Rhinolophus ferrumequinum: one gene and its partners. The protein of the gene in region 1 interacts with the protein of each later gene in a pairwise test. Links are inferred from orthologs where the notes say so. Each region holds a gene or a part of one and is shown in the gene's direction. Other genes may lie near its edges.

Evidence for each region.
Region 2: the proteins of MAGED1 (region 1) and BHLHE40 interact in binary tests that used the Homo sapiens proteins (3 or more experiments, as listed by UniProt). The two-hybrid records come from large-scale screens. The link is inferred for Rhinolophus ferrumequinum from reciprocal best matches to the Homo sapiens genes MAGED1 and BHLHE40.
Region 3: the proteins of MAGED1 (region 1) and RBFOX1 interact in a two-hybrid assay, tested with the Homo sapiens proteins (2 studies listed by BioGRID and IntAct). The link is inferred for Rhinolophus ferrumequinum from reciprocal best matches to the Homo sapiens genes MAGED1 and RBFOX1.
Region 4: the proteins of MAGED1 (region 1) and RBFOX2 interact in binary tests that used the Homo sapiens proteins (3 or more experiments, as listed by UniProt). The two-hybrid records come from large-scale screens. The link is inferred for Rhinolophus ferrumequinum from reciprocal best matches to the Homo sapiens genes MAGED1 and RBFOX2.

Annotation. Positions count from the first base shown.
Region 1 is NC_046284.1:83,519,914-83,527,621, reverse strand, and holds the start of MAGED1 (melanoma-associated antigen D1), read left to right. Parts: upstream 1-4,702; 5' UTR 4,703-4,773; intron 4,774-7,708. UniProt on the Homo sapiens protein: Involved in the apoptotic response after nerve growth factor (NGF) binding in neuronal cells. Inhibits cell cycle progression, and facilitates NGFR-mediated apoptosis. May act as a regulator of the function of DLX family members.
Region 2 is NC_046300.1:4,920,334-4,927,443, forward strand, and holds the start of BHLHE40 (class E basic helix-loop-helix protein 40), read left to right. Parts: upstream 1-4,099; 5' UTR 4,100-4,365; coding exon 4,366-4,445; intron 4,446-4,608; coding exon 4,609-4,678; intron 4,679-4,941; coding exon 4,942-5,049; intron 5,050-6,010; coding exon 6,011-6,134; intron 6,135-7,110. UniProt on the Homo sapiens protein: Transcriptional repressor involved in the regulation of the circadian rhythm by negatively regulating the activity of the clock genes and clock-controlled genes.
Region 3 is NW_022680357.1:7,883,632-7,890,460, forward strand, and holds the start of RBFOX1 (RNA binding protein fox-1 homolog 1), read left to right. Parts: upstream 1-3,811; 5' UTR 3,812-3,908; coding exon 3,909-4,052; intron 4,053-6,829. UniProt on the Homo sapiens protein: RNA-binding protein that regulates alternative splicing events by binding to 5'-UGCAUGU-3' elements. Regulates alternative splicing of tissue-specific exons and of differentially spliced exons during erythropoiesis.
Region 4 is NC_046293.1:10,469,441-10,476,410, forward strand, and holds the start of RBFOX2 (RNA binding protein fox-1 homolog 2), read left to right. Parts: upstream 1-3,961; 5' UTR 3,962-4,053; coding exon 4,054-4,245; intron 4,246-6,970. UniProt on the Homo sapiens protein: RNA-binding protein that regulates alternative splicing events by binding to 5'-UGCAUGU-3' elements. Prevents binding of U2AF2 to the 3'-splice site.

The DNA of each region.
Region 1 (7,708 bases):
CCTCGAATCCAAAAAGCAAATAGAACACCTAATTATCTCAACCACAACAGACCTTTTCCAACACATATTGTATTGAAGCTGTCAAAAATCAACGACAAAGAAAGAATCCTCGAAGCAGCCAGGGAGAAGAAGACGGTAACCTACAAAGGCAACCTCATTAGCATATCATCAGATTGTTCAGCAGAAACTCTACAAGCCAGAAGGAAGTGGAACCAAATATTCAAACTATTGAAAGAGAGAAATTATGAGCCAAGAATAATATACCCAGCAAAGATATCCTTTAGATATGAAGGAGGAATACAGAACTTTCCAGGCATACAGAAGCTGAGGGAGTTTTCTAATATACAATCTGCACTGCAAGAAATACTAAAGAAGGCTATTCGACCACCATCAACAGGGACAACGTGTGCCAACCAAAACATGAAAAGGGGGAGAGTAAAGGCCTGAACTGGAACATGGGAATGGAGAAAGTATGCATGCTGAAGAAAGTGGAATACTCTAAATATCAAACTTTCTTTTACATAAATTTAAGGGTAACCACTCAAAAAAAATCCAGAACTATAATATATACTGTAATAAAAGAAGAAACAGAGGGAAGCATCATAGAATATCACCACACAGAAATAAAAGACAACAATAAAAAAGCGAAGAAACAATGGAGAAACATTCTTACCAGAAAACTGAAGGTAAAATAATAGGAAATCCTCACATATCAATAATCACCCTAAATGTAAATGGACTGAACTCACAAATAAAAAGCCACAAAATAGCAGATTGGATCACAAAACTAAGCCCAACCATATGCTGTCTCCAAGAGACACATCTCACGTACAAGGACAAGTGTAGACTCAAAGTGAAACAGTGGAACTTGACACTCCAAGCAAATGGTATCCAGAGAACATCAGGTGTAGCTAAAGTTATATCAGATGAAACAGACTTCGAGGTGAAAAAGGTAACAAGAGACAAAGATGAACATTTCATAATGGTAAAGGGGATTACACAACAAGAAGACATAACAGTCATCAATATTTATGCCCCCAATCAGGGAGCACTGAAATATACCAAACAACTACTAACAGAAATAAAGGGAGAAATTGACCAAGACACAATTATACTGGGGGACCTAAATACATCATTGACAGCTATGGATAGATCATCCAAACAGAAAATAAATAACAAAATAGCAGTCCTAAAATGGCACATTAGATCAAATAGACATAATTGACATATATAGAGTACTTCACCCTAAAACATCAGATTATACGTTTTTTTCTAGTGTACATGGAACATTCTCAAGGATGGACCATATATTGGGACATAAAACTAGCCTCAGCAAATTTAAGAAGATTGAAATCATACCAAGCATATTCTCTGATCACAAGGCTTTGAAATTGGATGTCAACTGCAAAAAGAAAGCAGGAAAAAACACAAAAACATGGAGATTAAACAACATATTTTCTTTTATTTGTTGTTTTTGGTTTTTTTTTGTTTTGTTTTTTAATTTATTGGGGTGACAATTTTTAGTACAATTACATAGACTTCAGGTGTACAATTCTGCATTACATCATCTATAAATCCCATTGTGTGTTCACCACCCAGAGTCAGTTCTCCTTCCTTCACCATATATTTGACCGCTTTACCCTCATCTACCACTCCCCTCCCCTCTTACCCTCTGGCAACCACTAAACTATTATGTAACTTTACTAACAATTGTCATCCCAATAAACTTTAATTTTAAAAAATCATATGATTATATCAATTGATGCAGAAAAAAAATTTGACAAGATACAACATCCATTTATGATTAAAACACTTAATAAAATAGGTATAGAAGGAAAAAACATTAACGAATAAAGGCCATATGTGACAAACCCTCAGTTAATCTCATAATTAACACTGAAAAACTGAAGCCCATTGCTCTACGTTCAGGAACACGACAGGGCTGTCCCCTATCACCTCTGCTTTTCAACATAGTGTTGGAAGTCCTTGCTAGAGCAATCAGGCAAGAGAAAGAAATAAAAGGCATCCAAATTGGGAATGAAGAAGTTAAATTGTCACTCTTTGCAGATGACATGGTGCTATATATAGAAAACCCTAAAGACTCCACCAAAAAGCTATTAGAAACAATCAACGAATACAGTAAAGTTGCTGGCTACAAAATCAACGTACAAAAGTCCATTGCATTCCTATATACTAACAATGAAATCTCAGAAAAATAAGTTAAAAAAATTTCTTTTGGAATTGCAGCAAAAAGAATAAAATACCTAGGAATAAACTGAACCAAGGATGTGAAAGATCTATATGCTGTAAACCATAAAACATTTTTAAAGAAATTGAAGAACACACAAAGAAATGGAAAGACATTGCGTGCTCATGGATTGGAAGAATCAACATAGTTAAAATGGCCATAATACCCAAAGCAATATACAGATTTCATGTGATCCCCATAAAAATCCCAATGACATTTTTTAAAGAAATAAAACAAAAAATCTTCAGATTTGTTTGGAACCACAAAAGACCCCAAATAGCCAAAGGAATCTTAAGAAAAAGAACAATGCTGAAGGTGTTACACTCCACGACTTTAGCTTGTACTACAGGGCAACAGTAATCAAAACAGCATGGTATTGGCAGAAAAACAGACACATAGACCAATGGAATAGAATTGAGAACCCAGAAATAAACCACATAAATACGGACAGATAATTTATGACAAAGAAGTAAAAAACATACAATGGAGAAAACACAGCCTCTTCAATAAATGGTGCTTGCGGAATTGGAAAGCCACGTGTAAAAGAATGAAACTGGACTGTTATCTGTCACCATGTACCAAAATTAATTCAAAATGGATCAAAGACTTAAGCATAAGACCTGAAACAATCAACTGCACTGAAGAAAACATAGATACTAAACTTACGGATCTTCGGTTCAAAGAGTATTTTATGAATTTGAGTCCAAAGGCAAGAAAGTAAAAGTTAAATAAGTGAATGGGACTATATCAAACTTAAAAGCTTCTGCACAGCAAAAGCAACCATTGACAAAATAAAGAGGCAACCAACTGAATGGGAGATGATTTTTGCAAACAGTGCCTCCGATAAGGGGCTAATATCAAAAATATACAAGGAACTCATGCAATTCACAACAAAAAAACAAACAACCCAATTGAAAAATGGCCAGAGGACCTGAAGAGACATCTCTCCAGAGAGGACATACAAATGGCAAATAGACATATGAAAAAATGCTCAACATCACTAATCATCAGAGAAATGCAAATAAAAACCACAATGAGATATCACCTCACCCCAGTCAGAATGGCTATCATCAAGAAGAGAAATAGTAACAAGTGTTGGAGAGGCTGTGGAGAAAAAGGAACCCTCATACACTGTTGGTGTGAATGCAGACTGGTGCAGCCAATGTTCATGGCATCTTTATTTACGGTGGCCAAGAAACGGAAATAACCAAAATGTCCTTCGATAGATGAATGGATAAAATAGTGGTGGTATATATACACACAATGGAATACTATTCCGTGGTAAGAAAAGATGAAATAGGACCATTTGTGACAACATGGATGGATCCTGAGTGTATAATGCTAAGCGAAATAAGTCAGACAGAAAAAGCAAAGAAGCATATGATTTCACTGATATGTGGTATATAAACCAAAAACAACAAAAGAACAAGACAAACAAATGAGAAACAATAACTCAATAGACACAGACAATAGTTTAGTGGTTACCAGAGGGTAAGGGGGGAGGGGGGTGTTAGATGAGGGTAAAGGGGATCAAATATATGGTGATGGAAGGAGAACTGAATGTGGGTGGTGGACACACAATGGGATTTATAGATTATGTAATACAGAATTGTACACTTGAAATCTATGTAACTTTACTAACAATTGTCACCCCAATAAACTTTAATTTAAAAAAAAAATAAGAAGGAAACTTAAAGTCTCTTAGGAAAGAAATCTTGGCCTGTATCAAAAATAACCACAAAAGAGAAGGACTGGAGTCCTGATTTTGAGCAGAATTGGTTTTTGTAGGTAGTGGCAGCACGTAATTCAATATTGAACTTTTAACCAGAGAAAGGATTATTCTCATTATTGTACTGAAACTTTTTTTAAGCTGTCATTTTCTTCATTTTTTTTCCTTTGGTGGGGGGTGTGGAAGTATCCAAGAATGTTTTCTAAATGAGTTCCCATTTATTTATTTGGAATTTTGAGTCTGGCATGTAACTCTTTGGATACCATTCCAAGACAAAAATGATTCAGATTTAAGATTTTTTTTTCAAAAAGTTGAAATCAAAGTATGCTACTAATAAAAATTAACTTTATTTCCTAAAATGGTATGCCAGAAAACAGTGACCCGGTATGGTAAATATGAAACTGCAGACATTCAAGAATTAAGGGACTAAAGGCACGGGAGGTATTTAAAAAGCTGAATCACAAGGACAGGTGACAGATTGGATAGGTGGGGTTTGACAGAGATACTGCAGAGTGCTAGGATTTGAAAAAAGTTGACTGATTTCCAGCCGGTTTACATCTCTATCCAGGTTCTGATCTGGTGAGAGAACCAATGAGATAAAGTCTTGCAAGAGCTTGCTAGAGAGGCACAGGAAGCTGCCTGGAGTGAAAGTGCGGGGGTGGGGGTGGGGGGTGAGGGGTGAAGGGTGAGGGGTGGGGGTTGGGTGGGTGGCAGCAGAAGCTAAAGCTTCCGCCAAACAAAAGAAAATACCACTTCCGGTCATACAGTAGACGCGTCGCTGGCTTTCTTCATCAAGGTGAGTGTAAAGAAAGGGACTGGTAATTCTCACAGTGAATGCTCAAACATGCCAAGGAAGCTTTCCTCCTTGCTTCAACATGGGGTGGAAAGAAGAATTCATCCCCACAGTATGGAGGATATTCCTGATGGTTGTGGTTCTGATTGTCTCACTATCTCCTCTCTTAATCCTCCGGAGATGGCAGGCCGTTATCCCCTCCCTCTTCTGACTTTTGTGGTACTTTTATCCCTCGTCACTCTTCACATCTCCTCTTTATCCTGGATCCTCTTCCAGATCTTTCTGAGCCTAGTTCATTCCCTGTACCACAGATTTTTCCTATCTCTTACTCCTACCTTCTACTCAGTCCCCTTTAAGCCTCAGAACTTTTGCAACCCCCTTCCCCCACTCTGAACCTACAGTCTTCCCTTTTTCCCCTTCTGACCCAGTATTTTATCCCATTGAAGGCTTCTGGTCTCTCCTGAATCTGCCCTGCAGAGGTAAGTGAATTACATACTGTAGAAATTGGGTGTGATTTCAATTTCAAGGTCAAGAGTATTTTCTTTTAAAAAATACGCAAAGAAACAGATTTTAGAGCCCTAAGAGACAAAGGGGAGGTGTTCAAATTATTACGTCCTTTTATTTATATTTTTACTCTAAAAAAACACACATCAGATATTGCACTGGTTTCAGTTGTCTAGTCATGACTTTTTAAAAAAAATGTAAAATTTTGGCATAGAACTGAATCCCCAAATTTTTATGGTATTGCAAACATAGCGTGTTTTGCCTAAAACCTGGTGTCAGCTTTAGAAGATGGAAGATTTCCCACCCCTTTTATAACCTCTCATAGAGCAAAAAGGTTGACAGATATGACATCCAATTACACATGTATTATTTCATGAGTCGGGTTTATTATGCAAATCCTTTTCTGGTCTCTGGTAGTAACATTGAACAGCAAACTGGAAGAGTTTTCAAGTATTTTTTTCCCCAAGAGTTTTGCAAGTATTATCTGTTTTGTTGCATTGTGAGCTGTCTTTTTTCCCCATTTGTTGCAATGTGAAATGTATTTTTCTGTTTCCTTAACCATGTGTAATTTATCTGATGAGAACCCTAGTTAATAATCACAGTTTATTATTTCAATTCTTTACCCAAGAGAAGGGAAATGATCATTAAATTTATAATGATGTTCAGGGTTTTTTCAGGCTCTAAAGGAGAATTGAACCAAGAATCTCCTTGAACAAGCATTTATTCCTCCTCTTCTAACTAGTGTGTTATGTTTGCCAAAATAAGAGGTGATTCTTTTTTCTAGGCCAGGTATAGTTTTCAATTCCTTTAGAATAAACAATGAGGCAGAGATTTTATGACGCCAAAACACTTAGGAACTTTTTCAAAGGGTATTGCTGATGTCTCTTTATTCTCTATTGAAGTCATAATTATACAGTTTTAGATATCATCACATTGGCTGCAACCCACTGTGCATGCATCCATCTATTCATTCAGTAATTTTTTTATTGAATAACTTTTATGTGTCAGACAGTGTTCTAAGCATTGAGGCTACAACAGTGGAAAATAAAAACAAAAATACCCCATAAATTTGGGAAAGTTTTGTTTTCATTTGTTTCAAGGTAGTTTTTGATTTCCTGGTTTTATTTTCTCTTTGACCTATTGGTTGTTTAGTAGCATGTTGTTTAGTCTCTACATATTTGTGTGTGTGTTTCCAGTTTTCTTCCTTTACAATTTATTTCTAGCTTCATGCGATTGTGGTCAGAAAAGATTTCAGTCTTTAATTTATTGAGGTTTGTTTTGTGGCTTAATATATGATCTATCCTGGAGAATGGGCCCTTGAAAAATCTGTATCCTGCACTTTTTGGATGAAATGTTCTGTAAATGTTTATTAAGTTGATCTTGCCTAATGGGACATTTAAGGCCATTATTTCCTTATTAATTTTCTGTCTGGACGATCTACCATTCATATGGGTGAGGTATTAAAATCCCCTGCTGTATTGTATTACTGTGAATTTCTCCCTTTATGCCCATTAACATTAGCTTTATATATTTAGGTGATCCTATATTGGATGTGTAGATATTTATGATTGTTAAATCCTCTTCTTGGATTGACCCCTGAAAACAAAGTTTTCAAACTATAGCTGAGAGACAGACAATAAATGAATATATATTAAATATGTAATAGGTTGTGATGGGGAGGGGCTGTCCTATTTTAGGTAGGATGGTCAGGAAGGCCTCCTGGTAAGGTGACATTTGAGCAGAAACCTAAAGGAAGTGAGGGCATGAACTATACAGATATTAATGGGAAAACAGGATATGTCTATGCCAGTGTCTCTGCATTTGTTGTTCACTTTGCTTCCTGCACTCCCCACTCCTCCACAGTCACTTTTCTGCATAGTGTTAAGCAACACTCTGCATAATCAACTAATCTAATCCACCCACATAATTTCCTCATATTCTCTTTTTCCTAGTTAGCTTCTTGCTACCATTTAGGTGAAGAGTGAGTTACCAGCCCCAGTAAGAAGACATGTATCTACCTCCATCCTCAGTCTGTTTCTTTGTGGCACACTGTGTGCTATCCTACAGCATATTTACTTACCTCTCTCATTGCTCTTATCACTGTGTGTTCATTATATGTTGCCCATAAATACTTGGTATGGTAAATGGAAATGAATTCAGTGCTTGTGTGTAACAGACAAGCTTTTAAATATAGTTGGCCACCTAGTGTTAAAAACCACCCTCTGAGGTCAGTATTATCATTGTCATTTTACTGATAAAAACAAGACTCAGAGGTGGATAGTAACTTGCTAAATGGTGGTGGAATTCATGGAGTTAGGGTCTGTAAGATACTCATTCCTGGCCTGGTTCTTTCTTTCTATCTGTCTTTCTGTTTATTAATAACAAATAGAAAATATATAGACTATTTTATTTTATTATTTTACAAAACATAATC
Region 2 (7,110 bases), on another chromosome or scaffold:
GAAATCAAATTCTCTAAAGCTATGTCAAAATAAAATATTTTAGAACTATACATAGAAAGCATCCCCATGAATTCTAACAGCTGGGATAAATGCATTAGGATACACAGTGTTATTTATAAAAAATTATTTTAAAAAGAAGTTCACCACATTACTACTAGCAATAGCTTAAAATCCAAAATATTTTGCAATGCTTTAAAATCCTCTAAAGAACCCTGTTTCATAATCAATAAATCTTCCTTAGCATTTGCTAATTTAACCAGTATAAGCCATTTCAGCAAATTCTAAAAAGGGATGAAATCATAACAAGGATTATCATAACAATGTTAGATCAGGTATACCGAATGAGCTACATTCTCTGAGTCCATTAACAAAATCTTTAGGAAATTAAGGGGTTAAAAAAATTTTTTGAAGTTCCATAAATAGGCAAAAAATTATATCTGAGCAAGAGAAGTGTGAGTACACTCAGGGGGCTGTGAGAGTAACGGTATAGACTGCCCAACACACAGCATAACCAACCAAAACGCTGAGCCCCACAAGGAAAGAAAAGAAAAATCGGTCCTTGCCTTGTACAAAATTATGTTCTCTCTACACTTGGAAGAGACAAAACAGAGAGAGGGCTATAAAATGTCAGGATTACCCAGTGCAGCTGGTCAGTACTACATTGCACAACTCTAGAGGGTGCTCTGCAATGTGAACGGCTCCCCCTGGAGTTGAGCAGTGCACAACCCACACAACTCTATCAGGCAGCCTTGAGTGTAGTAATTAAAAGCACAAGCTTTGAAGCCCAACAAACCTGGGGTCAATTCCAATTCTAATTCCAGGCTGTATAACCTGGGGCAGGTTATTTATCGGCCCCAAGCCTCAATTTGCCCAAGGGAACACATTCTATATTCCTAGGACTTAGTTCAGTACCTGGCACACAGTGGTTCTCAATCAGTATGTGTGCTATAGATGTGAAAATGAGCTTTATAAGGTGGTAGTGAGGAGTAAATGGATTAACATGTACAAAGTTTGTATATACAGTCTAAAAACTAGCACACAATAAGCACTAAACAAATATCTATATAGGATGACAAACTGAAATACTGAGCTTCTTCAGGATGGAAAGATGCATGCTGGGAAGGAATTGTTTTGTTTGATAAAAAATAATCATAGGACGACCAGATAGCTCAGACTGGTTAGAGAGCTGTGCTCTTAACAACAAGGTTGCTGGTTGGATCCCTACATGGGCCACTGTGAGCAGCGCCCTCCACAACTAGATTGAAACAACTACTAGTCTTGGAGCTGTTGGGTCCTGGAAAAACACACTTAAAAAATAAAAGTTAAAAAAAAAATCATAAGCTATTGATAGAAGAAAACAGATTAAAAAATAATAAAATCTGGGTATGGTAGAACTTCGTTAGAGTGAGGATAATTCTTGAAGCTTGAGAGTACAGCTGAAACAAATAAAAAGTAGGAAATGCATATATTTTGTTATTTCAATTGTAGATCAAGTAAGGGCAAGAAATATTGATAACTTCAACGAATTCTAAGAAAATTGTCAGAGCCCTGAACCACGGAAGCAGAGAATTGTGGGTTCACTCCTGGCGTGGGGGGGGCGGTCGTGGGGGAAGCAGGGGACAGCTGAGGGGGACATGTGTTCCTTCCTCCCCGCTGTGCTTATTTCCTGGTGGAATTGTGGTTCTGACGCAGTCATGACAACTCTTCATCCTTATTAAGGTCGCACAACAGAGCAGGTCACCCTAGATTGAAAGCACAAACGCAGGACAGACTCCAGTCGCCTCCTTGGCCTGTGGTTCTGCTGCCCACCTCCTGGCAGGAAGTGGCGGTGCAGTCATTCCCTCCAGAGAGATGGCTGATAACAAAAGCCAGCAGAAGTACATTCCGAGAGGGAGGGAGGGATCGCTGAGCCCCCAAGTGAGGTCATGCCAGTCAGCAGTTAGAAAAGCAGGCATTTCTCACACTTGTTAATGAGCCTGACGCTCGTGAAACATAAACAGGAAGTGGGAGCTCTCCAAAGCGGCCTGAAGGAAATCCACTCCCAGTTTGGTCAACGTGTGAAGCCCAGTTCTCTGGATTGTCAAGGTCATTGCCAATTAAGACCGACATCCTCCCCGCTCCCCCCGGCGCACCCGAGGCGCATCTGGACCCAGCCCAGCAGTGACCCCCCCCCCTTTTGCAGTCTTTCCCACAGCCAGGTCACTCGGCGGCGGGGTGACTGACCCAGGCGGGGGAAAGGCTGACAGTCATCTCTCAAGTCCCGGGCGGGCGGCGGGGCAGGGCAGCGCAGAGGTCAGTGAAATCCCCGCCGGGCCTTATTTTAGTCATGAATTTCCACTGGCTCCCTCCTCCGACTGCATCAGCGGGACTCGCGCCGCTGCCTTGGCCTTTGAGCGGTTCTCCCTGCTCCAGGTCGAGTGAGAAGGTCACAGAGACCGGACTTTTCCGGGGGAGGTGACGAGGTGGGGGCCTCGGCGAGCGGCCTACGGAGGATGGCAGAGACCTGGGGCGCGTGGAGGGGGCGTTTGGACCCCGGGCTTCTCCACTCCTCCTCTACCCAGGCATCTCAGTTCGTATGAAATAAAATTATAAAACAAAACCACAACGCCGCAAGAAAAAACGGGGGGAGGGGAGAAATTATTTTCTCTACCAGCCAGTGGCCCCGATATAATTTTCCCAGGCTGCCTTCCCCTCGTTGCCCAATCTGTCCTCTTCGCAGCGGTTCCTGTAAATTCCCTGTAAATTCAGGGGCAGAATCTGTGTTTGATGCCCCCAGTTTCTGTACAACGGGTACAACGCCGGGCACAGAGTAGGGGGCTCGCTCAACGACGCGTGTAAATGCTACGATTCACGGTGACGGGCAGGCTTCTCGCCTCTCCCCCCTCCGGTTCTGCGCGCAGACCGCACACAGCGCCGCCAAGTTCCTGGCAGGCATAAGACTTGGCCGACCCGGCGGGCACACCGAGTCCTGGGGTTCGGTCTCCCAGCCGCGCACAGGGCCGTGCAGCCCGCGACGTTGCGGCCCGAGCCCTAGCCACGTGAAGCGTCCCGCTCCGGCCGCTGCAGGGCAGGCGTCACCGGCGCGGTTGTGTAACTCTGCAGCCGGAGGGGAGGCGGCCCGGGAGCCTTGCTCCCGAGGGGGCAGAGGAGGGAGGAAAGGAAGGGAGCCGCGCCGGGTGTCTTTTTGTGCTTGACTAGTGAAGTGGGTGGGGGGCACCCGGGGGGTGCGCACGTGGGTGCCCGCGGCCTGCAGGCTACGCCCGCCAGCGGAGCTCGTGGGAGCCAGGGACCGCGGCGCACACGCTCCGCGGTCAGGTGCGCGCAGCGTGCACGCCGGCGGCCTCGGCTGCCCCTGCGCTTGGCCACCAGCCGGCTTCCCATGGGGTGACATCCGCCCCGCCCCTCGGCCCCTCCCCACGGCGGGCAATTCCTGGACGCGGGGCAGCGGGGTGGGGGCAGGGAAGCTGAGACGGAAAGAAACCCCAGCCTCTGGGGAAGGCATGGGGCCGGGCGACTCCCTCTGCAGCGCGCGGGTTCCTGCGAGCGGCCAGGCGGGGGAGGAGGAAGAGGGCTGGGCTGGAGCGAGCGAGGGGATATTCCTCTCCCAGCTTGAGTCAGACGCGGGCGGATCCGTCCTCCCCCGTCCCCTCCCAGGAGACGGGAACTTACTTCATTTCCCTGGGGCAGGTTCGCCCACGTTACCACACACCTCCCCCCCGGCTCCCCTTCCAGCTTCCGCGCCCCTCACCCGGCTGGGCAGGACCCAGGCCGCGCCGCCACCCCCTCTTCGGGGAAAGGCAGCCGCACCGCAGACACCTGGGGGCCGGGACTGGGGGTGGGGGCCCCTCGCCGCCGCGGGAGCGCTGTCCAACACGTGAGACTCATGTGATGAAGCCGGGGGAGGGCGGGCAGGTCGCTCCTTCCCTCCCCGGCAGCGGCCAGACGTGCCTGGAGTCACAGGGTAGAACACGTAGCTCCAACCCACCCACTCGCTCCCATTTAACCCAGCCCGCAGCCTCTCCATTACTCCACGGCTCCCCGCCCTCACTGCCCCCCCGCGCTTCCCTCCCGCCTCCCCGCCCGCCCCACTTCTCATTCACTTGGCTCTCACGGCGCAGACGGCACAGGGAGCACACACCGCCAGGCTGTGCGCAGAGTCGGAGCCAGAGGCCGCGGGGACACCATGCACGCCCCCAACTGAAGCAGCAGCATTTCGTAGCCGCAGCTCCCGGCAGCCAGCGGATTTCAGGGAGCTCAGATTCAGAGGAAACCTTGCGGAGAGAGCTCCGAGGCCCCCTCCAGGACAGTCCTCACCCGACGATCTCCTGCAGACAGGAGCGCGTTGTGGCCCCGGTTCGCCGTGCCATGGAGCGGATCCCCAGCGCGCAGCCGCCCCCCGCCTGCCTGCCCAAGGCGCCAGGACTGGAACCTGGAGACCTACCAGGGTAAGTGGGCACCCCTGGCCCCTCAAGCCTCAACTCCAGCCCCGCGTTCTGCTCGGCGCTCTACTTGGAGCAGCTCTGGGCGCATCCGGGGGTTCCTGCCCGCCAGGCTCTGCAACCCGGGCTCACACAAACTCACGACCCTTCCTGGCCCCTCTCCCTGCAGGATGGATTTCGCCCACATGTACCAAGTGTACAAGTCGAGGCGAGGAATAAAGCGGAGCGAGGACAGCAAGGTAAGAGCCCCGCGCCCCTGGGGACCCCAGCCCCTAGCATGCGCTGAGTTTCCAAGAAAAGTTTTCTCACTCTGAGGCTGGAGGGGTATGCGTGGTGCGGGCTCGGCGCTTCTACCGAGTGGCTTGGAGAAAAGGGGGCAAGAGGCGGTTCTGGGTGTGACTCTGCTACGCTGCCCCGACTCTTCTCGCGCACCGGGGTGGGAAGGAGAGGGGCTTCTCACCCCCTTCCTTTGGTGCCCACTGCCTGCCCGTGCGCCTTGCAGGAGACATACAAACTGCCGCACCGGCTCATCGAGAAAAAGAGACGTGACCGGATTAACGAGTGCATCGCCCAGCTGAAGGATCTCCTACCCGAACATCTCAAACTTACAGTAAGTGAGAAGCTGGCGGCTCTCCAGGCTGGCTCCTCAGCCCAGAGGGCGGGCGGGGGTCACTCGCCGCCTGCAGGCCCAGCCGGGAACTGCAGGCCCCTCAGGGAACTGCCGAGTAGAGAGCTGGATCGGAGCCCGGGTGGCTCTATTTGGGGGTACCCTTCCCCAGCCCTGGGATTTTCTGGCAGCCTCACGCAGAGGAGGTGAGAACCGCTTGGACTTCTCCAAGTTGCCTCCAACACCAGCTGGCCTTCTTTTTCCAGAGTTTTAGATTTTCCCGTGTGGTGATTTTCAGGGTTCTCGAGTTTTCCTGACTTGAGCAAACCAAGCAACACACAGATCTTATTTACCCCTTTTTCTCCTTTTTTTTTTTTTTTTAAGTAATAGGACTTGTTTTGGTGTGTGATTTTTACATCCTGTCCTTTCTTGGGAGTAGCCTACAGCTTACTAACTTGGCAGACTTTGGTTGGGGAAAGGAAAAAAAAATAGTATTTGAGGAGGAAAAAAAAAGACTGGATGAGTTGGGAGTTATGAACGGGTGTCAGGAAAGAAACGAGGGAAAACCTCTTGGCTGTAAGACACAGTAGAAATCCCTCCTCGGCTGACACCACTGCAGAGAAATGTTCACTTGATTCCCGAGTTAAGGTCAGCAGCCACTGCTGGAGAAATTTATCTATCAAAGATTTTTTCCTGAGGTAGCCGCTGCTTCTAAAATGCCTCCAAAGATAGGTGGCACTCATTTTTTTATTCTTTAATCCGATATATATGTGTGTGTGTGTATATATATATACATATATATACATATATATATAATCTATAAATTTTAAATTACATTTAGCTAGCCAGGAAAGGCTAGTTCTTTTTTTTTTTTTTCCTTTAGAGACATTTCTCATTGCTAATAAGTGTCTGAGAGGTGGGACTTGTCTGAGCTCATTGCTGACGGAGGCTCTTTTGATTCCAGACTTTGGGTCACTTGGAGAAAGCAGTGGTTCTTGAACTCACCTTGAAGCATGTGAAAGCACTAACAAACCTAATTGATCAGCAGCAGCAGAAACTCTTGGCCCTGCAGAGCGGTTTACAAGCTGGTGAGTGCCTGCGTCTGGCTGTCATCTCCGGGGAGTTCTCGTCGCACAAACAGAGCCTGTGGGCTCAACATCTGCTATAAGAAACAGTGCTGCAAGGAATTGCTTGTGCATGTTTGTTTGGGGGAGATGCCATTTTATCGTTCCTAAAAGGTCAGACTTCTTATTTGGAATGCTGCTGTGTGCCACCTGGCATGAATACACATTAGTCAGATGATAAAATATTACTGTGACATTTTGGCTTAAGAGTTTCTGGGTTCTGGGAGATTTCCCCCCTCCCTTTTAAAATGCCAAGGCACCTATAATTTGCATCGTGGGTGTTTTAGTTGGTCCTCTTAGCCCTCTTTCAATGGAGAATAAATCAGAGGTATGCCCCAGTGTTTTCCTGTTTCTGTACTTCCTTATCTCTCGGTGTGTGGTATGATCCTGGCAGGATGACAGCAGGAGTTTTTCCTGCATTTCATGTGGTTCCCTGAATAGCCACTAGGCATCTTGGTGAATTGCACAATCTAACGAAACCACTGAAGTTTCATCATTCGTTTCTACTCTCTTCCAGAGAATCACACTCACCTTCTAACCTCCTCGTCTCCCTGCTTCCAGATAATACTGTACAGACTGGGGAAATTCTCCTGCCCACTCCCTCATTCCATTCTTCTCTGCCATCCTTGCCAAGCCTAGTGGGATGAGAATCACAAAAATCTAGCATGTGCCTCTGCCAGGTCCCCCACTGAAAATAGAAAGATGATCGTACCTAATGTCTTGGGGGTCCTGGATCGAATACATAGAAAAGGCTTAGAAAGTGATTAGCTCCATTTCAAGATGACTGCATGACTGCAAAGGGTAGAAGTCATTGAAAATCAGTTTACTTAAGGTGACATCGTTCGCTCATTCTTTCTCATTTTATGACTATCTCTGTCCATCTTGCTATGATGAGATTGATGTTCTATAAATTGACTCTTTGGTTTGTAAACAAACTAGG
Region 3 (6,829 bases), on another chromosome or scaffold:
GTCTTCGCCTCCCCGCACTGATACTGCCCTGGGGACCCAGCAGTGCCCGGAATGCAATCAGCGCCAACCACATATCGTCTAAGTGTTCCAACAAGTAGGTGACTCAAAGAGCTTGTGATAGAGACAGTAAATAATGACGTTTTCTCCTGATACTTTTAGTCTCCCTTTTCTGAAGCTTGAGACTATGTAGCTGCCTATATGAAAATGAGGAAGTGAGAGCAGCTTATTTGTAAGCGACTCCTTGACACTGTCCCGGAGTAAGAAATCCTTTCCTCCCGTCTCCCTGGAGTTTCTCTTGCACTGAGGCTTGGCAACTCCCAGAGAAAACCTTCCTTTCTCTAAATGTCTGCCTTTTGGACAGCCTTAGGAAGTCATACTAAGGAATTAAGAGAGGGAGAGAAAAAAAAACAACTACGATTTCCTCTATTCATTTGAATAACTGGCGAATTTGAGTGAAGGAAACATTACAAGTACTGTTGTGTGGATCAAATTAAAACTGGGGCAGTGGCCTAAGGAAGTATCATTTGGAGGTGGCATTGCTGACTGCAGGCTCCCTGGCACTGTCTCTGCTCCCTGCAGGGTATGTGCACCATGCAATGAAGGGTCCTGGTAGCTGAAAGTCAGGACGGTGGTCCTTGAACGTGCATGTGATGTAGACACTCAAGCGGCTGAGTGCCCAGGGATTCTTGTAGAGAGAGGAGGGTACTTCCCCACCCCCACTCCTCCCATTTACCTATGTAGGAGAATCGTTTGGGAGCTGGTAACATTGATGTGGCTCTTCCTCAGTCTCTGTTGAGGTGGAATTCAAGTTCAGCATCCCCAGATGCTGCAAAGGCTGGCAGAGTCCTGTCATCAAGTAAACAATAGTCACAGATATGGCGTTACCACTTGGTCTGGGGTCATCCAATGATTAAGGCCCACTGATATTAGCCACTGTTTGCAGTTGCCCTGTGCATGGGGTGTGTACTTGTCTCTGCATAATCGTGCTTGCATGCACTTGGGCAGGGATGTTCGGACTTGGCTCTGTAGAGAATGGAGGCTGGCCCGGAACCGGTTGGAGATTCATTTACAAGGTCTGGATTCCGTTGTCTCACTTTGCAGACTTCCAAGGCATCCGACTGTGAACACTTACATTGAAGCGAAAGTCTGAACCCTTATTGCAAAATGGGTCTGTAGGAATCCAGTCACCACTGAGGGTTTAAAAGTTTGGGGAGAAAACGGACTGGAAAAACCAGGTTTGGCTCAGGGCAGTCGAGAACAGTTATTGGCTCCTTACATAATGTATTTGTTTTTCATCAAGCCATTCAGATAAGGTCTTATTAAAGTGCCATGTATTATTTATTGTGTTTCTCGTGAAAATGAGCTGAATGAAAGGAAAATTCTGTCCTCTTTTGGGGGCATTTGCAGGCTTTCCCAATGCCAGTGAGAAAAACAATAAAGGAAAGCAGGGCAAACCCCAGTCAGTACAACGAGTTGTTGGAGGCAAAAGGAAAGAATGGGAAAGGGAGAGCAAGGATTGACCGTTTATTCCATCTGTGTTTTGTGGAGTGCCTTTCACTTTGGTTTTGTGAATTGCAAAATGAGAAAAACAAAAAATGAAAAACAAAAGCAAATAATGAAAGACAGAAAGGAAAGAAAGAAAAAAAGAGAAACATTTTATCCGCAAACCAGACCTTGTCTGCTGAATGTGATGTCTGAGACAACATATATAGCAAGGATTTTTCAAACTAACTACTGCCAGCCCCCCAAAAAAGAACCAGCATAAAATACCAGCCTGTACTCCCCTAACCCCCATCTCAACTTTCGCTTGGGCTTAAATGTGCTACTGTGCTCCTTCTAAATGGACAGGATGCGTGAGTCCCATCGTGTTGGAGGGACTGTTTGCAAGGGGAGGAAGTAGAAGGAAACTGCCTTTTTGGGGCCTAGTGTTTGGCAGAGTGAAGACTTTATAGTTGTTGATGACGTTTGCAAACAGAAAAACAGAAAATGGAGCTGCGGAATCATGAATTTCCTTTCCTTCAGAAGGCATTTTGATTAGCCTGCAAAGTGCCTTGCGAGCTGATGGCTCAGTTCAGAAGCTGTCATTTGGCTGAATGTCCCAGTAAGACACAGGAAGGGGTCAGCTGGGCTGCCCTGTGGCCATTCCCCAGTCCTGCCCTAAACGCTCTTTCCTGAGGGTCCCCGCACTTTTAGGGCATCTCTGTCCTACAGGCCTTTGGAAAGCCCGCAGGGAGACTTCTCGCAAGGAACCTAACAATCAAAGGCTGTTCAGACAGCCTCTAGCTCTGAAAAAGCAAACGAAAATCCGTTCACTGGGTCAAAATCTATATCACAAAATATGGCATTATCCCTGATCATGGCTTGACGGCCGCCAGGGACGTGCTTTTTTTTTTTTTTTTCCTGTGGGGACCCAGGACGTGGTAGAGTCTTAATATTTTCTTTTGATTTGCAGATCACATCCTATTTTATTGCCAAAAGACTAAGGAAATCTACTAATGAATAATTATTACTTCATAAAATAAAGGGGAGTGGGGACCGCTCTGCAGGAGCAGCATGCTGATTTGGCCGAGGAGGGCTGGACAGGCAAGAAAAAAATGAAATAAATAAACCATGTCATTTGCCCGCTGCAGCCCACAGAGTAGTCTCTTATCAGACGCGGACTTACCACCCTGTGCATTTATAATTTGAGAAGAGTGGGATTCTAGGCTGCGAGAAGCCCCCCTTGCATTCACCCCGGGCTGGCACGTTAGTTAGTCCAACAGGCTTGATTTCCACGCCATCCAGGGCGGTTTCTCCCGCTCGGCGGCTCCGGGCTGGTTGGTGTGCCGGCTGCTGCCCGCCCAGCTGCGGCGAGGCGCGCAGGAAAAGCTGCGCCCCAAATGCTTGGGGGTGCATCGCTGCCGCGGCCGCCCTGCCAGGGGGTGGGGGCCCCAGAAACCACCCTACCTCGTGCGCCAGCAGCCCCCGCTCCCCGCGCCCCCGGCCCCTAGTGTCCTCGCAGCACTTTACGAGGGGGAATCCCATTTGTGGGTTGATTTGCGGATGAGTCGGGCAAACAAATCGCCACCGAAATCTAAGACTCTGGGTCCCAGCTGGGCGATCGCGTGAATTGTCCGGCTCGTCTGGATACTGGCGATGTGGGGCGCTCGCTCGCTGGCTGCCTCGCCCGCCCCACGGAGATTTTTAGCAAACACAATTTGAATTTTGGTGAGTCGTTTAAAAAAAAAAAAAAAGGCAGAGGGGAGGGAAAAAGGAAAAAAAAAAACCCAACCCTGCCCTGGACCCATTTGACAAATGAGAAGGCACGCAGCATCTGGACCAACGGAGTGAGCCTCGGTGTGAGTCAAATCTCTCTCTCTCTCTCCCTCTCTCTCTACCCCCCCTTCTCCGTTCCCCCCCACCTGGCCCTTAGCTCTGTCAACCCCCCAACTCAGCATCTACAGAAGGGCATCCACCCCCTCTACCTTTCACTGAAGTTGCTTTTGCTTGTTCCTGTCATCTTCTGGGGCTGGGGGTCTGGAGGGCGGGGGCACCTGCCACTTTAAGAGACATCACAAAGCAGGCCCAACAACCACACTCACACAGACACACACACACACACCCCAATAAAGCCATGAAAGAAACAAAATAGTTTCCTGCCCCTCTCAAGTGTCTTAGTTGTTGGAGGCAGATGAATGCTGGGATCTAGCAAACCCAAAGGGAAGAAGGAAAGCGAGGGAGGGAGTGAGGGAGGGAGGGAGGGACACGGGGTGCTGTGGGGGGGTGGGGTGGGGAGGGAGGGTGAGAGAGAGAGAGAGAGAGAGAGAAGAGCAGAGAGAGACAGCCACCGGGGTTTGACTTAGATAATCAGCAAAATTAAAAAGGGAAAAAAAAAATTGTAGCGACCAGGCAAAGAACGGCGTGATTGCATGCGAGCGTCCCCACTCGTGCTCGGCGGGCGCCAGAGAGACAAAATGCAGCATCCTCTGACGGGGGCCACCTGCGTGGCGCTCCCCAACGTGGGCATGTGTCCCCAGCTCTCGTGTGCCTTGACTTTTATGTACTTACAGCAGGTAAGGCACGCGGCTTTCCCGTGGACCTGCATCGCTTTGGTACCTTGGAGGGGACCGGGGAGGGGACTCGTAGGTTTGGATGGGAGGGGTGCATCGCAGCCCCTAGTCTTCCGAGGATCCCTGGTACCCCGCGCCCAGCTGTTTTTGCACCTCTGTGACTACTTTGAACGCCTGCTTCCGCCGAGCTTGGGTACTGGGAGTTTAAAATTGCAAACCGCCTGCTCCTGACTCCGGTCTTTCTCGCGCCAGTGACCGACCCGTGGTGATCTGGAGCTAAACCCTTTGATGCTGAGTTTGGAGCTGTGTGGAGGCAGGCGTGTGCTTGGAGTTTTAATTTAGCGGCTTTAATAGGGAGGGGGAAAAAAGAGAGAGAGAGAGAGAGAGAGAGAGAGAGAGAGAGAGAGAGAGAGAGAAAGAAAAACCCACATACGTATGTGTGTGTATGCTCAGTCTTTTTGTTTTCTTAAGTTTGTCTGGCTGGTGCTATATTCAGTTGCTTTTGGAATGGGAGCCTTTGGGTTTCTGGAGCGTGTCAGCCCCAGAATCTGCCTCCACATTCTTAGGCAATGCTGTGAAGAAGAGCTGTTTAGGGTGCTGTCTTTGTTGCTATGTGTAAAGGCTTTTTTTTTTTTCCTTTCCCTCCTCCAATCTCCCTTAATGGTCTTGCTGAGGGATTCTGTGTTTATTTTCCATTCTGTGTACATTTCAGAATCTTTCATTGTGCGTCTCTCTATCCCTGGGTGTTTCCCTTGGACCTTCCCTGTCTTCTTTTCCTGATTTATACTAGGAAAGCTGCCACCTCAGTTGATTCCTGGGTTTGGGGAACAGCTCAGGATTGCCTTGGGGGTAGGTGACATGTGGCTTTTCCTCACTGGACAGGGGCTGTGGATGTGGCTGGCAGCGTTAGAAGGATTTTGTCATGCAGATGAGAATCCTCCAGTCCTGGGATTCCTGTCCTTCTGGATGAGGAGTTAGCAGTGATTATAGTCCTTTTATCTGTTTTCTGATGGAGTGCCTTCAAGAGTTAACTATGTGTGCTTGTGGTCCACTAAACTTCCTTTACAAGTGTGCAGAGGGGACCTCCTTCTCCAAAGAATCTCCATGTCAGTACCATGTGTGGTAGGAAGACATGTATTCATAAAATGCCGAGACTCTGTTTAGAACATTTAGGGAATTGGGGTTCAAGTTGGTTGCCTCCAGAAAATGTTTTTAGCTGTATTTTCTGTTGCAAGTCTTGTTGAGAACAGCCTTTTTTTTTTTTTTGGTGTGTTGTTTGAATATTTTGGAAACAAATTGCTTTATTCTTTTAAATATTATTTTGGTCCATTTCTCATTAAGTAAATTGTGCCAGGAAACATTTCCCAAAAACCTATTGGTAAGATATTAGAGGATTCATCTGCTTTTCCATTTCTGTGCCCTTTGCTGTGAGCGCCGTGTGTGTGTGTCTGTGTGTGTGTGTGTGTGTGTGTGTGTGTAGTTACCCACCAGAAGAGTATCCTACTGAGCATTTCTATAGCTGCAAAGCCTCAATTGAATTTAATCTAAGTATTACTATGAGTTGATCTTTGACATCCTATATTCATTTCTTTCATGTTATTTATTAATCAATTGGAATAGCATCACCTAACAAGGAGAGCTGTAGGTCTGTAGTGTTCTCACAGTTTCTTTATTCATTATTATTTTTAAATAATGTTTCTTCCTTCTAGATCATAACATTGGTTTGCCCATTTAGGTACAACTTAGGAAAGAATTCAGTGACTTTGAGTGGGAGGTTATTCTTGCCACGGAAAGGACAAGTATATAGGATAAATGCAGGAGTTCTCAGCATCTGCCTGGCTGGCTCTTCCAGAAGGGAAAAACGGTCCTGCTCTGAAAAGGGGAGATCCAAGGGAATGGTGGCAGCCATAACAAGTCCTTAGAAGTGACTAAATCAGCATCATGGTGCCATATGCAGAGACGGAGGTGGATTTTATGCTGTGGAAGGCAACCCCCTCTTGAAGGGGATGTGATGCTCTGAGTGGCACAGTGGATACACTGACACTGTGACACACGTCAGAATGCAGTGTGTGTGTGTGTGTGTGTGTGTGTGTAGGGGGTGCCTGTGTGTATGTTTCTGGTGTTTCTCTAAATGCCTGAAGAATAGTACCAGCAGACATTTATTTTTGCCTGATTTCGTGAGAATCAGGTTTTCTGGCCGCAGCTCCCAGCCTTTCTAAAGGCTTCCGGTCAGGATAAGAGAGCCATACCTTCAGGTCATCTCTCCCAGCCATTGCTGTCATCACAGTTTGTACAGAAGCTCATGTCATTGTTTTTCGTTAGCAGTCCAGACCATTGGCTGAGTGAGGGTGTGAAATAGTTCACTTGAATCACCACAAACCACTTACAGATACAATCTGTACACCATTCATCTATACAGGGCCACTGTATTTCCTATCTGCTGTTAATCCAGAAAGCTATCATTGTATCTCTGTTTAATTTTGATGATTAGAAAGTTCATCTGTAGTCTCAGAGGAAGCTGATCAAGTGGATGACTCAGGAAGCCTCTATGATAAATGCCGTCTCCTTTGGAATCCTTTTATTATTATTTAGAAAGAAACGTATTTCAGGAGGCTTTGCCATCCAGATCACCAATTGCATAAGAGAATAATTAAGACACAGCTGTCTTATTTCGGAGCCTTTATCGTTCTGGTTTCTGAATGCATGAACTCTGATTGGGGGCCACCGAGTCTTCCCCGAAATATAATTTCCTGGAATGAAGTTTCATATGGTGCTTATTT
Region 4 (6,970 bases), on another chromosome or scaffold:
GAATAAAATGGGGGTTCTGCTGATTAGGAATAAGAGGATATAAGGGTTGGGAACTACCAGTGCTTGCCACACAAATGAAGAAACTGGGTCTAAGAGGTGGTAAGGATCTTGTACAAGGTCAAATATATGGCCAAGTCATACTCAAACCCATGTGTGATACCAGAGTCCATGTTCTTAACCGCTATGAGAGATGCCTCCTTCTCATGGTGCATTGTAATTCTTAAAACACACACATACACAACCTTGGGGTGCCCAAAAAAAGTGTATACAAGTGGACACTTTGGTCGACATTGCTCAGGCAGTAGTTTGCCGTAATGCAGAAGTGTCTGGATGCCGATGGGAACCACTTTGAGCACCCTTGTAGTTGCAGAAATCAAACGTAATTTGTATTCATCTTTTGTTATTGGTATATATTGAGTAGAATAATTTTAATACAGTTTTCCTTTCTTAAAATGTGTATACATTTTTTTGGCACTCTCTGTGTATTTAATTTTTCAATTACAGTTGACATTCAATATTTTATATTAGTTTCTGGTGTGTATTTGTCTTTTTATTTGTTCATCCTTTCTTTCCCAGACTGAGCTCCTCAGTACCAGGAATCAATTTTATTCTTTTTGATATCCCAGACTTTTGCCCATAGTTTGTCAAGTGGATAAATAAATAAACATTAGGACTTCAATAATTTCTGCAGCTAAAAATTCTTTCTAGGAAAATATTCTTTAATTGTTTTCTTCCTCTGTAATATTTTATAACCACCTGCTCCCACAGAGGTGGCTGCAGATGTACATGAAAGAAACGATCCTGGTCTTTGTGTCACTATAGGCTCATTTGGCCTCTTCTACTATTTATAGGCTTCTATTCGCAAGCTCTCTCTAAAAGCTTAATGCTTGTTTACAGGACAAGGTTCAATTTCTCTTTGTTCTGCCTGGTCATTCAAACATTCCTGTACCACATCGCTCTATTTCTCAGGGAAATGTGTGCTACTTGACTTACAATAATTTGAGTCACAAGCAGCCCTGATACCAAATCTCATTTCTTGCTGGGTCGTGGAGCAGCCCAGGAAGGACCTAGAGTCATTTAAATTCTAGTATTTTGGCAAGGCAGGTAGGGAGGGGAGAAGAATTTTCAAGACACCAGCTTAATAAGTAAAAATTTCAGAAAACCAACCACTGACGTCCCTAGGTTAGACAAAAGAAGCCATTGTTGTTCCATAGACCACCAAGAAACATCCTGATTTTTCTTTAGAGCTATAATGCGCATGCTTGGTTGCACAGGATTAAGGCCTATCTGCCCAGGGGGCACTGCCAACTGGAGATCCCTGCCGTAGGTTGGGACTAATTTAGCTCAAGTACAACCTTTCAGGCACTTGGACTTCCAACTTGATGGCCCGAATGGCAGTAGTAGAAGCTGCCTGGGCTTCTCTTTCCAGCCGCATGAACCCCTGACCAGCGGCTTAGCATCACTGAACAAATTAGGTGATAAATATTGACCACTTATTAAGCAGTTCGACGCCGTGCTCTGGTCAATATTTATCACCTAATTTATTTACATTGTTGTTCTTTATTTTGTCTCATTTAATCCTTAGAACAACACTGTAACTAGTATTGTCATCTTACAAACAAGGAATGTAAGGTTTAGTGAAAATAAATGACTTGCCTAATATAGCTGTTGCACTAAGGGGTGACTTGGGGTGATTTGTCAGCCCATCTTAATCTCTAGCAGGCCCCCACCCCCCACTTTATGTAATTGGAAAAAAAAACCAGTAGTAGTGATAATGATATCCTTTGATCTTGATAAGAATATTTTTCTTGCTCACATTTAAGATGTGAATAAAATAATGGTAATAACAATAATAATAGCTAACATTTATTAAGTGTTTATCATTGGCCAATCTGTTCGAAGTTCTTAATGTGTGATAATTCATTGAATCCTCACAAGAACCCTTTCAGGAAGGTAGTATTATTATCCTGATTTTCAGATGAAGAAACTAAAGCATAGACAGGCTAGGTAGCTTTCACACGGCATCATGACTGGTTCAGGGGCAGAGCCAAAACTTGGCTATTTTTATTGATCTAGGACACAGACTAGGTAAAAAACAATGAGCTAGGAAAACTCAGCTTCAGGACAAGTCCTTCAGTCTTCCCTTCCAAACAGTCTGCAGGCCCTGTTCCCCTTCTATATAGAACTTCTTAAATGATCACTGGTCCAACATCACATGGGTGGTAGATGGGAAAGCTTGGACTCAAACCTTGGTTGGTCTGATTCCAAAGCAAGGATCTTTACCATTGTACTGTTTCAGCGGGTTAAACCCAAGTCAAAGGACAACTCCTAGACCCATCTGGAAATGACCTTAGAAATCATGTAACTCAGGGTTTCTCAATCTCAGTACTGTTGACATGTTGGGGTGGATAACTGTTGTGAGGACTGTCCTGTTCATCAAAGCATGGTGAACAATATCCCTGGTCTCTATCCACTAGATGCCAGTGGCACCCCTCAGTTGTAATGACCCACAATGTCTCCAGACAGTTGACAAATGCCCTGGAGGAGAGGGGAAAGGACAGAATTGCCCCTGGTTGCCAACCGCTGATCTAAACTATCTCCCCATTTTACAAATGATGGTCAGGGGTCCAAAGAGATGAAGCTCGTTTGTAGAATCCAAGTCATGCATGCAACATAACTATATCCCTGTAACGTACAGGGCACAATATGGAACCCAGAGAAAATAGATGCCCTTTTGGTCCTTACAGACTGGTAGGAGAAAGAAGCTGTTGCACAGCATCTCTAATTGCAGAAAGTTGAAATTAACAAAGTGTTACACAGGCAGCAAGGCGTAGAGAAAAGATGATCTGATGTCCTGAGAGCTGGATCTGCCACTGTTTAGCTCCAGGACTTAACGAAGCTTCACGTTCATCATCAACGTAAAGGAGTTCCTGGTATCTACTCTGCTCATACCATCGCTTCAAAACGGGTCTGTGAACGCATTGTGCAAACTGCATTGTGCAAGCTCTTACAAACATCAGGTGTTATTATTAAGATGATCAGGAATGGGATAATTATTATTATTAGAGTCAAAGCTTTTAGAATTGGGGAGAGCCATGTAGTGGTGATTTCATTCCTGGACCTTCCAAATCGAGATCCTCATTCTTCCGCGGGAGAGGGAGCAGGCTAAACGCCCCCTCCCACAGAGTGCCGGTTCCCTAGTCGGGAACTCACGGGGCCCTCGGGCCTCTCAAGCTCCGCCTGTCCTAGGCTATGGCCCCGCCCCTAGAGGAAACAGACTCCGCCCCCTCCGCGCTAGCTGGAAATCCAGCCGCACGGTGCCTCCAGGACAATCCCTCGCCGCTGGCGGAGACTCCCGAACTGTCCTGCTCTCTCCCCGGCCTCCCTCGGGCGCCAGGAGAGGAGGCGGCGGAGATTGCCGAGGGGAGCTGGCCACGCCCCCTCCGCAGGCTCGGCCCCCACCCCCGCCACGCCCTCCCCGCCCCACCCCCGCCACAGCCTCCCGCGCGGGCTGGAGTCCCAGATCCCGGTCCCTCCCTCCTCCTTTCTCTCTCCCCGCCTTCCCGGTGCTGCCACAGTGGCGGGTCGGAGGATCCCGGCCAGTCAGCTCGTTCCGGCCTCGAGCCCCTCCTCCCCCCAAATAAACACCCCTCCCCAAGGCTCGGGAGCCCGGACCGCCCCTTTCCTCCCTCGGCCCGGCGTGTTGTGAGGGACAGTGTGAGGGAGCGGGCGCGGGCCGGCGGGCGAGCTCCGTGAGTGTGAGGCGGGGCGCGCGGCGGGCCAGGCCGTGGGTCGCGTGTGCGCGTGGGGGCGCGAGCCAGTGCCCGTCGCGACCCGCCAGCCTCCCACAGCCGAGGACCGCGCGAGCGAGGACGCCGATCGCCAGTCGCAGAGGAGCGCCGGGCCCGCGCGCTCGCGCGCGCGCACGCACGCACGCACGCGGGGGCGGGGGCAGGCGCGCGCCCGCCTGTCGCGACTGTCGGGGCCGAGGCCCAGGGGGAGGTGGCCTGTCGCGGGTCGCCCGGCTCCCGGAGGCGAGGGGGGCGCGGGCGGATGGCGGAAGGCACCCAGCCGCAACAGCCATCGCAGCTCGGGCCCGGCGCCGCTGCCCGGGGGATGAAGCGGGAGTCGGAGCTGGAGCTGCCGGTGCCCGGTGGGGGAGGAGACGGAGCCGAGCCCGGCCTGAGCAAGCGGCCGCGCACCGAGGAGGCGGCGGCCGACGGCGGCGGCGGCGGCGGGATGCAGGTGACCGCGCGGGACGGGCGCCCGGTTACGGCGGGGGTGCGGCGCGGGTCCCGGGGGGCGGCCCGGGGCTCCCGGGGCTTGGAAAGGGGAGGGCCTCGGGGTCTTGGCTTGGAAGTGGGAGGGGGCCGGTCGTGGCCTGTTTGGAAGGTGGGGCGAGCCCCGGCTTGGAGGCGAAGTGTGCCGGGGGACCCTGGCGTGCCCACGAGGGTCCTGATTATTGAGGGCACAAGGGGACACGACGCGTGGATGGGTTTCGGGGGGAAATCGAACATGGTTGAGATGGATTCCATTTCTTCCAACCCTTCCTTAGTTCCTTGGGGTGGAGTGAAAGCCGGGAGATCCTGGGTCTGCAGCCCAGAGAGCCGCTGGACTGAGTCGAGGACGAGGGGACAGTGGTGGGACACCTCCCGAGGAGGAGTACCTTTTGGCAGCCGGGGACACACACTGGGATGGGGAAGGGGAGTGGCACATAATAAAAGAGAGGAATCAAAGGCCAGAAAACTCCTCGAGAGCCCAGAGGGGATGTGGCTTCGATTGTGGGTTAAATCAGTTCCACCAGGAATGTGAGAAGTACGCGGCGTGTGGTAGTCTTGTGGGGACACCGTGGTGCTCCGTCGCATTAACTTTGTGAAACATGCTAATGAGTCTGAAGAGAGACGCAGGGCATGTCCCTCCTGGACTTTGCCAGTGGCCTCTTCCATAGCTAGGGCACCGACTAGCTCTGTAATGTTTTGGGGTATGAAAGAACAGGTATAGGGCTGTTAGAAGCCTGGATTCTGAGTTGTGGAGTCAAGGATGAGCTGATTGATGTGGGTAAGGAATGGGAAATGGAGCAATGATGTCAGTTGACTTTGTAATTTGAGGAAGAATGTGAAATCTTGATAAGCTTTAGTTTTAGGATTTGGTCTTTGTTCAGAAAATACTTGCTATGAAATGGTGGTGGTGGTGGTGGTGGTGGTGGCTGGGGGTGGGTGCTAATGTACCAGCAGTTGTTTAGACATCTGCCTAATTCTCTTAGAATCATAGAATGTTAGAAGGGACCAGCGACGTCATCTTTTCCAGGGGTTCTAAACCTGGGTAGACTTGGAAGACTTGTGCAAAATAGTTTACCTGCACTTTTTAGGGGGGGAAGTCAATAATTTCTTTTTTTCTTTTTCTGGATTGGATTCAAGTTCCCAAATGTTTTAACCATCTCATTTTATAGATGGGGACTCAAAAGTCACGAGAAGACTAGTGACTTGCCCAAGGCCACCCAGTGAGCTCGGTAGTAAAACTAGAGCTGGAAGCCTACTCTTCTAATTCCTATTCCTGTGCTCTCTCCATTACACCACTCTTGGAAATCTCTGCAGTGCTAAGAGACTTCCTGTGCTCTGCTCCTGCTTTTCAAGGCTCTGCCTGACTTCCTGTGTTAGAGACGGAGCTGTAGTTAAGCCTGGCGTGTTTACTGTGTGCTTCTTGGTCTCCTTTGCAGAGGCCACTCTTACTTCTGTTGACTTGGGTACAGTGATCCTCTGTGGTGTTTATTTTTGAATTCTTTTGTTTTGTTTGCTTGCTTTTGTTCTCCTTTAGAACTCTGTCAGGCAGAGGGATTGTGAGAAGTGAAAGCTCAGGGCCATGGGAAAAATATATATAAAGGAATATGGGGAGACTTCAGGTGAGGTGGGTTAGTACTGGATGGGAAGGAGGGAAGACTGGATGAGTGCTGCTGAGCGTTTTCTGCGTGGTGTGAGCATGTATCTGTGTCTGTCGGTATTCATTTATTGTTTTGTCAATCATAGTTAACAGCGAGACTCTTCCCTTTCCCCCACCTTTCCTCCTGGGGCCCATTATTTGCTGGTTGCCTTCAAATTGGCTAAGGACAGTAATATTTGGAAGTGGAACAGTGTATAGGGACTCTGGGGTATGCAGAGGAAGGAGTGGATTAGGTCCTTTGGGTACAGATGGGCGACTTAGAACCATCCCACAGAGAATGTTTTTTGCACTCTGTGTATTTGTGGATCTTTATTTATTTTTCACTTTATGCATTCTCATTGTTGGACTTCCAACATACCATGTCACACAGGTATTCATATCATCATTGATTTAGTCCCCTGCCTTCAACTAGCTGTATGGTTCTGGGAAAATCCCTTCTTTTTGGGCCTCTATTTCCTTAGTTGTAAAATAAAGTGTTCATACATGATGATTTCTAAGTTACCTTCTAAAATATATGTCAAGTTCCCTGACCTTAAAGTGTTTGGTGCTTACAATCTAGGTAGGGAGACAAAATGGGTGAAAAGTTGTAAAAAGTGTATATGTGTGTGTGTGTATATATATTTATATACACACACACACATATATATATATATATGATTTTTTTTTGTAAGTTTAGAGAAATAGGAGTAGAGATACCACAGGGTAGATGCATGCCAAAAGGCATTCATTGCATGGTTTAGAGGATTTGTGCCACTCAGTCCAGAAGACGGAGATGGTCATTCCTGCTGAAATGGTCAAGGAAGGCTTTCTGGGGAGCTTAAAATTTGAGGTATAATTGGGAGTAACACCAGTTGATTCACACCAGTCAGACCCTCTTGTATCCTTTATATCCAATGCTTGTTCATGCATCATGTATATTGTCCCTTAATTGTTTTGTTATTCTTGTTTCCCTAGTGAGACTAAGCTTCTAGGAGACAGGAACTGTACTTCTTTGTATTAATAATACCAAACGGTTTTGGGTCCATTGTAAGTG